Coturnix japonica: one gene and its partner. The protein of the gene in region 2 interacts with the protein of the main gene of each other region in a biochemical or structural test. Links are inferred from orthologs where the notes say so. Each region holds a gene or a part of one and is shown on either strand. Other genes may lie near its edges.

What was found.
Region 1: the proteins of EEA1 (region 2) and RAB5C form a complex in vitro, tested with the Homo sapiens proteins (2 studies listed by BioGRID and IntAct, with this or other methods). The link is inferred for Coturnix japonica from reciprocal best matches to the Homo sapiens genes EEA1 and RAB5C.

What each region holds. Positions count from the first base shown.
Region 1 is NC_029542.1:4,458,754-4,463,446, forward strand, and holds the start of RAB5C (ras-related protein Rab-5C), read right to left. Parts: upstream 3,326-4,693; 5' UTR 3,185-3,325; intron 1-3,184. UniProt on the Homo sapiens protein: The small GTPases Rab are key regulators of intracellular membrane trafficking, from the formation of transport vesicles to their fusion with membranes.
Region 2 is NC_029516.1:40,649,560-40,654,123, forward strand, and holds part of EEA1 (early endosome antigen 1), read right to left. Parts: intron 4,317-4,564; coding exon 4,196-4,316; intron 3,907-4,195; coding exon 3,808-3,906; intron 2,760-3,807; coding exon 2,637-2,759; 3' UTR 1-2,636. UniProt on the Homo sapiens protein: Binds phospholipid vesicles containing phosphatidylinositol 3-phosphate and participates in endosomal trafficking.

The DNA.
Region 1 (4,693 bases), on a different chromosome or scaffold from region 2:
CACAACAGAAACTAGTTACCTCAGAACCCAAGCAACATCTCTAGGATCTCACTCCAACTTTTGCAAGCTTCAGGCAATCCTAAGCCACATGCACTCCATCCATTTCCTGAGCAGAACGCACAAAACATCCTGCAGGGGCAAAGCACGAGCAAACTCAAGCTGTGATTTCAAATCCATTTAAGAAAGCCGCCTCAAACCCCTTTAATATTCCCAGCTGGGCAGTGCAGCTGTTCCACTGAGTTAAAGCAATAGCAAAGATTAACCCTTACTCCCTCCCCCCCACGCAGCACTGTCACACAGCTGGTTCTCAGGCACAGAGCCTCGGGGTGCTCATATCCCTCAATCCTTTCACCAGGGTCTCTCAACCTCCTCCAAAGATGTTCAGCAATTATCCCTTAGCAAAAGTTCCCGAAAGCACCTCATGAGATGCAAAGGTATTACACTTATATACCACCTTTGGAGGCAGAGGTTTTAATGCTAAAGCTGAATGAGCATAAGCAGCAAGAGTTACTGCCACACTGGCCACACGGGCACTACAAAGAAGCTCCATGCCTAATCCAGCGGGGGTTTTAATTCTGCAGAATAGCATGACTAATTGCTTTCAAAACTGCAGTTAGTGTGCTATTAGATCACCACGGGCTGAAGGGAGAAACGTGCAATTAGGGCAGGCTGAGGTGCTGTGCTCCTGCCCTTCCTCGTGCTTCGGGAAAGCATTTGGACCTACAGGTGACCATGGGCCCACATCCCCACCTGCTGACACAGCAAGTGAGCTCGTTCCAGATCAGCACGATGGAGACCCAAGCAAGTGAGCTTCCAGTACAGCTTCAGTCAAGCCATGGAAACAGCACACTTGTAAAGACTGCTTTAAAAGCAGCAGGATGAGAGGCGGCAGCTTCCGAGCAAGTGTTAGAGAGACATAAATTGCAGCACACAACTTCTACCGATTCATTTTATATAAGCTTCTCTTTGGCTGTATGGAACAAGGTCCCACATCCCAGGTACCAGAACCCCCTGCTCCCATGTTAACCCCCCTCCCGCAGGTATTGCCTGCATCCAGTTCTTCTCAGCACTGCAAGAACTCTGCCCTATGTCCAGCAGCTGATGCACTGCCAGGTTAACGACACTCCAGATACTGTGCAGACCAACTCAAAATTGACCTAAGTTTGTAACCCTGCAGGCAAGGTTCCCACAGCTCCCATTCCATACACTGCACTGTGCAGCACGCTCTCAAAAGGCTCAACTTCCTTTCGGCCAGAAATCCAGCAGCATTCACCCATAGACAGCACCTGCTCCTTGCTGAAAAAGGCACGACTGTTAACAATGCAGAGCAGAAAACAGCCATCTTCACCACAAGAGACTCGGTGACCTTCATTATATCTTTCCCAGTCTGCACAAAGATCTCCTGCCTCCAGTGGCTCCTTTTTTGGAGCGCTACCATATCAAAGCAAACATGAAAGCTGGTGTTTCCTTATCTGTTTATGTAGGACTACTCCAGTAGTTTGTTCCCGTGCTTCAGGGGAAGCCAGCATTCACATCAGAATTAAGACAGAGCGTTACTATTCCCCATAACGCCACTTCCAGGAAGCCGTGCTGTTTCTGGTTGGCAGATGGAACGTGTTCATAGTTACTGACAATTTCACAGAACTTGCATAAGAGAACTTCAAACTTCATATCCCAGGGGAAGGAAAGTGCTGACTCTGCCATTCCCTTCTTCTAAGCACGCTGACCAAAATACTTCAGGCTACACCCACTTCATTAGAAGCGTTTCCATTTTACTTCCTGTGTCTGGAAAGACTTGGCGCTGCTCTTCCCCCACCTAAGGAGATGCGTGACCATCTAATGGGTGACCATGCAGCACCTCACGGCAGGACTGAGCTGATGACCCCTCCTTTACATGCAGAGCTTTGCTGCGATGACAACAATTTCACTTCTCATCACTGCTCTTCCACACCTCGAGGTCTGGCTGAGCTCACAGAACCAGACTGTTACTCAGCTTTTGTTTCAGACAGTGTCCAATCCATCACTGGCTTCACTGTTACAGCAAAGTGACCCAAATCCAAGTCTGTCCACAGTAAAACCAGGTAAGTGTTTGACTTGACCACATCCACCTACTGAGCTAGCTGCCCCCATACTGCTCTCCCTTCCCCAGGGCTTCCATTTATCTTGCTCCCTCACCCTATGGGGTATTAAAGCCTGACTTCAACAGCCCTAGTGCCAGGCAGTGCAGGTCCCTTATCTTAAAATGAACATAGTTTGAATTAGCCTATGGTATCTCAGTGGGAAAAACTGCCTGTAGAGGTTGACCTGCTATGAAAGCACTTGACTGTTGGGGCATCCTGTTGAGACACAATTACTGAAGCCAAACATGGCTTTTCTAACCTTAGAGGTCTGTACAGACTCCAGCTTTACCTGCTGTTCTCATTCCAGGAGGGCATTAAGGCCAACATTGCCCTGCAGCAGCCTACAAACACCATTCAAGACTCCAGCACTGCACTACGTGAGGTGTCATTCTATAAGCAGGGCAGCTTGAGCATTTGCAAAGCCCCCAGACAAAAAACTAAGAATAGTAGATGCAACTTGTTCCATATGAGACTTAAAACAGCGTCTCAGTGCACTCTGTCCTCTCATTTCCTTACACATTTGGAAACCATCAAGGTCAGAGCTCCAACAGCCACACACAGCAACAAGGGAAGGGCCACAGCTCCCTGTGCAGGCTGCTCACAGTCAGGTGCTGCCATTAACACACACGGTGCTGCCATTAACACACACGGTGCTGCCATTAACACACACGGTGCTGCCATTCCTACCACGGGTGCTGCATATACCCTGATTCACCACACGGCGCTTCCCAGCAGCAGCATCAACCCAACAGGTCCGAGCTCTACAGCACCTACTGGCAGCACACAAAGCCGCACTGTCCGTTCAGGCCGCGCCCAGGACCCGCTGCACCCACCGCAGCACAGAGCGACCGCAACAAGCAGCAGCCGGGGACCGACCGCCCCGACCCCGCCCCATCCATCCCCACCGGGCGGACCGTCCGTGAGCCGGGCCCGAGCGATACGGGACAGCACGGACAGCACACACCGCACACACCGCCCGCAGGCCGGGCCGAGCAGCGGCCTGGAGCCCCGCCGGCCTCACTCAGCTCAACCCGCAGCTCAACGAACCCTCCGCCCGCACTCACCGCCCGCAGGGCCGCTCCCCGCCGCGGGTGCGTCTCGCAGGCCCCGGCCCTCACTTCCGCCTTTACCCGTTCCGCTTCCGGACCCGTCCACCGCTTCCGTTCCTGCCGTGCATGTCACTGGTAACTGCGGCTGTCAATCATCTTTGTCCCGCCTCCTCGTGTCTCCGCCTCCTGATGGACGCGTTGCGTCACGTGATCTGCGCTCCTCTACGTAATGCGTGTCTTTCGCAGAGCACCATGGGAATTGTAGTCCCCGGGTGTCCCCGCAGCGCCCCCCGAGCAGCTCGGCCACATCCCAACACAACACCCGCCAAACCTCCCCAAACCCCTTTAGTGCCCCCAAATCTGCCCCAAAACAGCCCAAAATCTGCCCCCAATCGCCCCCAGCAGCAGCGCAGCCCGGAGCTGCACAAATCGCTCATTTATTTCCCGTTCCGTCCGTCTCAGCGCGGAGCGGCCGAAGAACAGCGCGGGGCAGCTGGTCCCGCACGGTGCCGGTTCCGGTTCCGGTCCCGGTTCCCCCCAGCCCCGCATCGCCCGGGGGCGGCCGGCGCCCAACAGCGGCCCGAGGGATGAGCGGCCCCGGGGCGGGTTTATATGAAGCCCCGTAATGCGACGAGTGTCAAAACCGGCATCGAACAAACCCGGCACCGGCCGCTCGAGGCGAATCCGGAGCCGGGGGGTCCCGCCGCGTCTCAGCTGGACGAACCGGAGCGGGGCTGCGGGCGGACGCGGGCGGAGCAGCCCGGGAACGAGTGGGCGGAACGGGGCGGAACCGCGGGCGGAGGCGTCGGGGACTGAGGGACGGGGCGGGACGGGCGCGGTGCGGGCTGGGGAGCGGCGGGGGACGGAGGGTGCGGAGCCTCCGAGCCCAGCCCCGGGGCACCGGACGGAGCGGGAACGGAGCGACTGCGGGCGGGAGCGCAGCTGCAGGCGGGGGAGGAGCCCCGGGAGGCGGCGGGGGCCGGCGGGGGCCGGGAGGGCGGCGAGGAGGCTCCGGGCGGGCGACGGGGGCACGCGGGGGGCGGCGGGCGGCCCTGGAGCAGCTCCAGCACCCGCTGCAGCTCCCGGCTGAGCTGCGAAACCTCGCGGTTGAGGTGGGCGATCTGCAACGGGGACGGAAAGCGGCGTGAGCCCCGACGGGACGGGGGAGCCCCGCGCTCCCGGGCGGCCCCGCACCTCCCGGCTCAGCCGCACGATGCTGCGCTCCGCCGCCTCCACCTCCGCCAGCAGCGCCGGGCCGCGCTCCGCAGTCCCTGCCGGGCAGACAGCGCACGTCGCCGGGATCCCCTCGTTCCCCGCTCCGCCATTTGGCGCGGCCGTACCTGGTGGCGGGGAGCCCCTGGACCCGCCCCGCAGCCGAGGGGCCGCTCCGAAGCAGGAGGTTCGCGCGTCCCGGGTCCCCCCGTCGTCTTCGATCCCGTCCACCACCCTGCGGGGCGGCGGTGAGGACCCGACCTCGTCCTCGCCTCGTCCACCCCCGCCCCCTCCCGGACACGCGCAGCCCTC
Region 2 (4,564 bases):
ACTATTTTCTCCTTACTGTAGAGCCATCTCCTCATGTTTCAAACATCCCCATACAAAAGTAAAACATCTGAACACAAGTGAATCTTTTAACCACTTCCCCCGCTCCCTTGAGAGATTTCCATCTTCATCTACCACATACATTTTGTCCTCGGTACAGCTGTGAGAGGCTTCCCCCTTCATTCTTAAAATCCCTTCTGCTTAATGTGGTTGTCCTTTACCCTGAAAGCAGCACTAGGTTCCATCTGCTTCACAACCAGACCTAGGCTGGAGCAAGAATCCAATCTCATCACCTTTGCCAGAGTTCTGAAGTCACTTGTCAGACAAATAAAAGGCTTGAAAGCAAACCTTCTGGATTCCCTCAGCCAATAAATAGATAGAAGAAATTACCAGAAGCAAAGTTCTGCTCTTACTTTCTATTCCAAGAATTATTATTTTGAGCAGTTGCAACAAGGTGATGCAGCAAGTCCAGAATGTCTGTTCACACAGAGTCATTGCAGCAATGGTTTCTTTCAAGCAGGCAACTCTCGAGTTCAAACTAGAAAAGTTGAAAAGTATTTCATGTTATCATGCTTTTACTCCAAGCCCTTCTATAGTTGTGAGAACCAGTTAAATAACTCAGCTGGCTTCTGGGAAGTAAGAAAACTTACTGAGAAAGAATTGTTGAGGTGAGGATGCAATCTACCTAACTAGGTAGTTAGGATATGAAACACAGATCACTACTGGGGATGAATGATTAAGAAGCCTTTTCATTTGAGAGTCAGGGCTATACATTTGTCACAAAAGTCTCCTCTTCATTCACATACAGGCCTGTCAGCACACAAAAGTAAACAAACCTACCTAAAGATGGCTAACTGTCCACCACTGTAACAGAACCTTCTTCTTTACCTTGGGAGGCAGCAGTAGAGGAACTGAGGCCATATTCCTTATCTCTGAACAGCCAGCACAGTTTTTTAGGACAGAGAATGGCTTGGGTTGTAAGGAATTTATTACAGCATTCTAGACAAAGGGGCTCTAAGTATGAGAACATATAACCTTAGCTCAGAAGAAATAATAACAATTCTGAGGCCAAACACTGGATACTTACTTCAAAGAGATTCAAAGTTAGACACGGGCAAGAAAAAAACACAAGGGTAGATAAAAGCACAATAAAAAGATTTAGAATTTACATGAACGCATCAGGAAACCTCTGTTGCTAATACAGAAGAATAAAATCAGAACAAACACAGGGTGGTGAGACACCAGAAGAGATTGCCCAGAGAAGCTTTGGCTGCCCCATCAGAGGAAATGTTCAAAGTTAGGTCAGATGAGACTCTGAGTAACCTGGTTTAGTGTCCATTGCAAGGGGGTTGGAGTAGTTATCTTTAAAGGCCCCTTTAGCCCAAGCAATTCAATGAATCTATGATCTAAAACTGTATATATTGACCTGCTTACTTAGAGCTGTTTGGCTTAAAGCTAAGCCAGCACCAGGAGATTTGCATCACCATTCTAAGCAGACTAAATCATAGGACTAGCATACAATTTAAGAACCCTCAGCAACAGGGGACAGACGAAACAATGGAAAAATGAGGTCTCTTAGGAGTACCAGCTGTTCAGCTTCTTCCATCAAAAGCTGAAGTAAGAGACAGGAGAAACGTTCAGCTCAAATGCAGCACCTCCCCTGAGGAGAGTTTTTCTTAGTAGAATTCCTAGTTGTGGAATTTCAGGACATGCCTCAGAACCACAAGGACTCCTTGGAGCTCCCAGACTATGGCATGGTGACAGATGAGCTACAGGCTACTATCTGCACTGTCTGTTTTTGAAATCCTGCATATAAAGGGTTTCTGGGATATTAAAATCAATTCATCAAATATGTAAAAGTGAAATCAGTCCACGTGGGAGAGCTTCACGTAATGTTCCTACAATGCCCACTAAACTTGGTCTCATCACTTGTTCATACATACGCACGCACACATACACACACAAATTATGCAGTACAGTATGCATAAAGATATTCCAGTATCCAAGTCCTGTAGTTGGGTAAGAACTCAGGTGCTGATACTACAAGTTCTAAGTGAGCAAGTAAAACTGAGAGTTACGTCCAGCCATGTCCCCTCAATGTGGAGTTCGAACTTTAAAGAGAAAAGTCCAAAAACCAGAGAGAAAGAAAATAAAAACACAAGGGGTTATAAAGACCATCAGATACACAATCAAATGCAACGAGTTATGCTATTACAGCAACATTTGATACACAAAATCCTCACAAGTTTTTGCATCTTCCTTTTTCATTGAAGGAAACAAGAATAAACTGCAATATCACATAAACGCATTTTCTCTTGAAAAAAAAAAAATAAAGATAAAAAAATACATTGTTACTCCTCTGTTTAAACTTTATTTACAAATAACCGGGTATTTCTAATCTAATTTCTAGACATAGAAGCTCTTTCCAGGATAGACGGCAATAAGCTTGGGTGATCTGAGCCCATATCTCACAAAAAATACAATAGTTTTACTTGGTATCAATAAACATTTTAAAATATACTAAATTTTGCCAAGTGTTACAATCATTGTCCAAACTGAGTAGTAGTCTGAGTGCTGAATGAAGTGCATCAACAGAAATAATAAATTTTAGTGTAACATTTCTTTGTCACTCACACCAGTTATCCTTGCAAGTCATTAAAGCAAGTATCACAGACCCGGACAGGCTTCTTAGAAGAAGGAGTTAAGGCATTCTTTGCTGAGCACTCAGCACAAAAGATATTTCCACACTGTCTACAGTGATGCTGTGAAAGAGAAAACAAACATATACTGTGAATATTGATTACAGTGCTGTGGGCACAGATCATTAAGGGAGATCATTATCATGTCAACTCAACTCTCTTGTGTTTCAGAAGTTTGGATTTTTAAACAGTAGTTCCATCACACCCTGAGCTTATATCTACATAGAAGAGCATAGCATAAGTCCTTACTAAGGGACATAGGAGCAAAATCATTAGACATGCTGCTTCACTGAGTGCTGTCTATTCTAGTTTCAGAATGGAACAGGTTGTAAATAATTCTCCTTATTATTTCCTCCTCTTTAACTTTTTTTGGTTGCAAAAAACATGTTCCTGCTTCCACATTAGGTAAGTACCCTTGAATAAAACAATCCAGCCACCTTTGTTCAAAGACTACCCAAAAGACATGACACCAAATAACATAGGACAGGGAGAACAACCTAACAAGAAGTCAGGAAGCACTGCAAAATGAACCTTATGAATATCCCTCACCTACTTCACTGCCAGGTCACTTGGTGGAGAGATAATAATCTCTGGATGAAGGGCTGACCCCCACCAATGAAGGGGTGCTAAGATCCTACCTGACAACAACTGTTTTACAGACCTAAAGCACAGACAGTTGTTTCTTCTGTTCTGTTGAGTTTAGCTAGTGCTTACAAAGATACAGTCACAAAGCTCCACTCTATGTTGATGTCTCATACTTTCACACATATCCAATTTTAACAAATTCACATTACTTTTTCACTTGTAAATCCAGTCCAGACTGGTTATAAGAAAGTTTACTGTAACTACTGTCATTTTTGGGGACTGAAATCTTTAACACTATTTATAAACTAATGCTGTTAAAATGGCAAGCATGAATACAATAAGCCCCACAAACATTACCTTTAGTATTTAAGGCATCATAAACAGCACCCGTACTCTGAGACATCTCAAATATCACTACAATTTAAAGCCATTTTCTAAAGTGTATTAAATATAAAATAGTTTGAAAGCAACAGAAAAAAAGAACACCCCCCCCCTCCCCCCCAGAAACACAGGAAAACACACTTACCCTTCTCACAGTCACTGAAAAGCCTTTTCCGCAGGCCATACAATTCTGCACCTCATTGTCTTCTGCCCATTTCCTGTTGAGAGCTTGAGTGTGTTTGATCTATTTAAATTTACAAAAATAACACAAATCAAAATGCATATCTAATTCCTCCTAATTTGTTTAATTTCACTGCACATACTAGGCAGTAAAAACGTCAGTTCTGCCATAACACTCATGTTTTCTCCAAAAGAAAACCCTGAATAGAGTTAACCTACAGAAAGTAATACTACCACAGGAACACCTTAATCCCTGTGGAAAGGTAACCCACCATGAATGCAATGCAAACTTTGTTTCTCACAAGCCCCACAGACAGAATCAACAGGTTTAAATGCTTAAAATGAAGTTATACCTGTAATGACTGGTTTTCTCGGCCTAGTTCCTGCATTGCAGCAGTAGTATTGTCCAGCTTTTTCTTCATTTCTACAAGTTTGGACTGAAGCTTTTCAATTTCTCCCTCACTTTTTATACACCTAAGGATAAACAGTGAATAGTCAGTTCAAAGCATATAAGGCGATGTACTCTGCCTCCTGTGAGCAGGTTGTCGTAACCGAGAAGAATGGTTAGCCTCATGAAATATACTTGCTGTGAAAAGTTCTTGGACACCTTGGCTGGAAACATATTCTGTTATAACAACCTATTTAAGATTATCTGGCACTGCTCCCAGATACCTGGGGCTCGTTAATACCTGGTGCTACTCCCAACACCAGGAACAGTACTG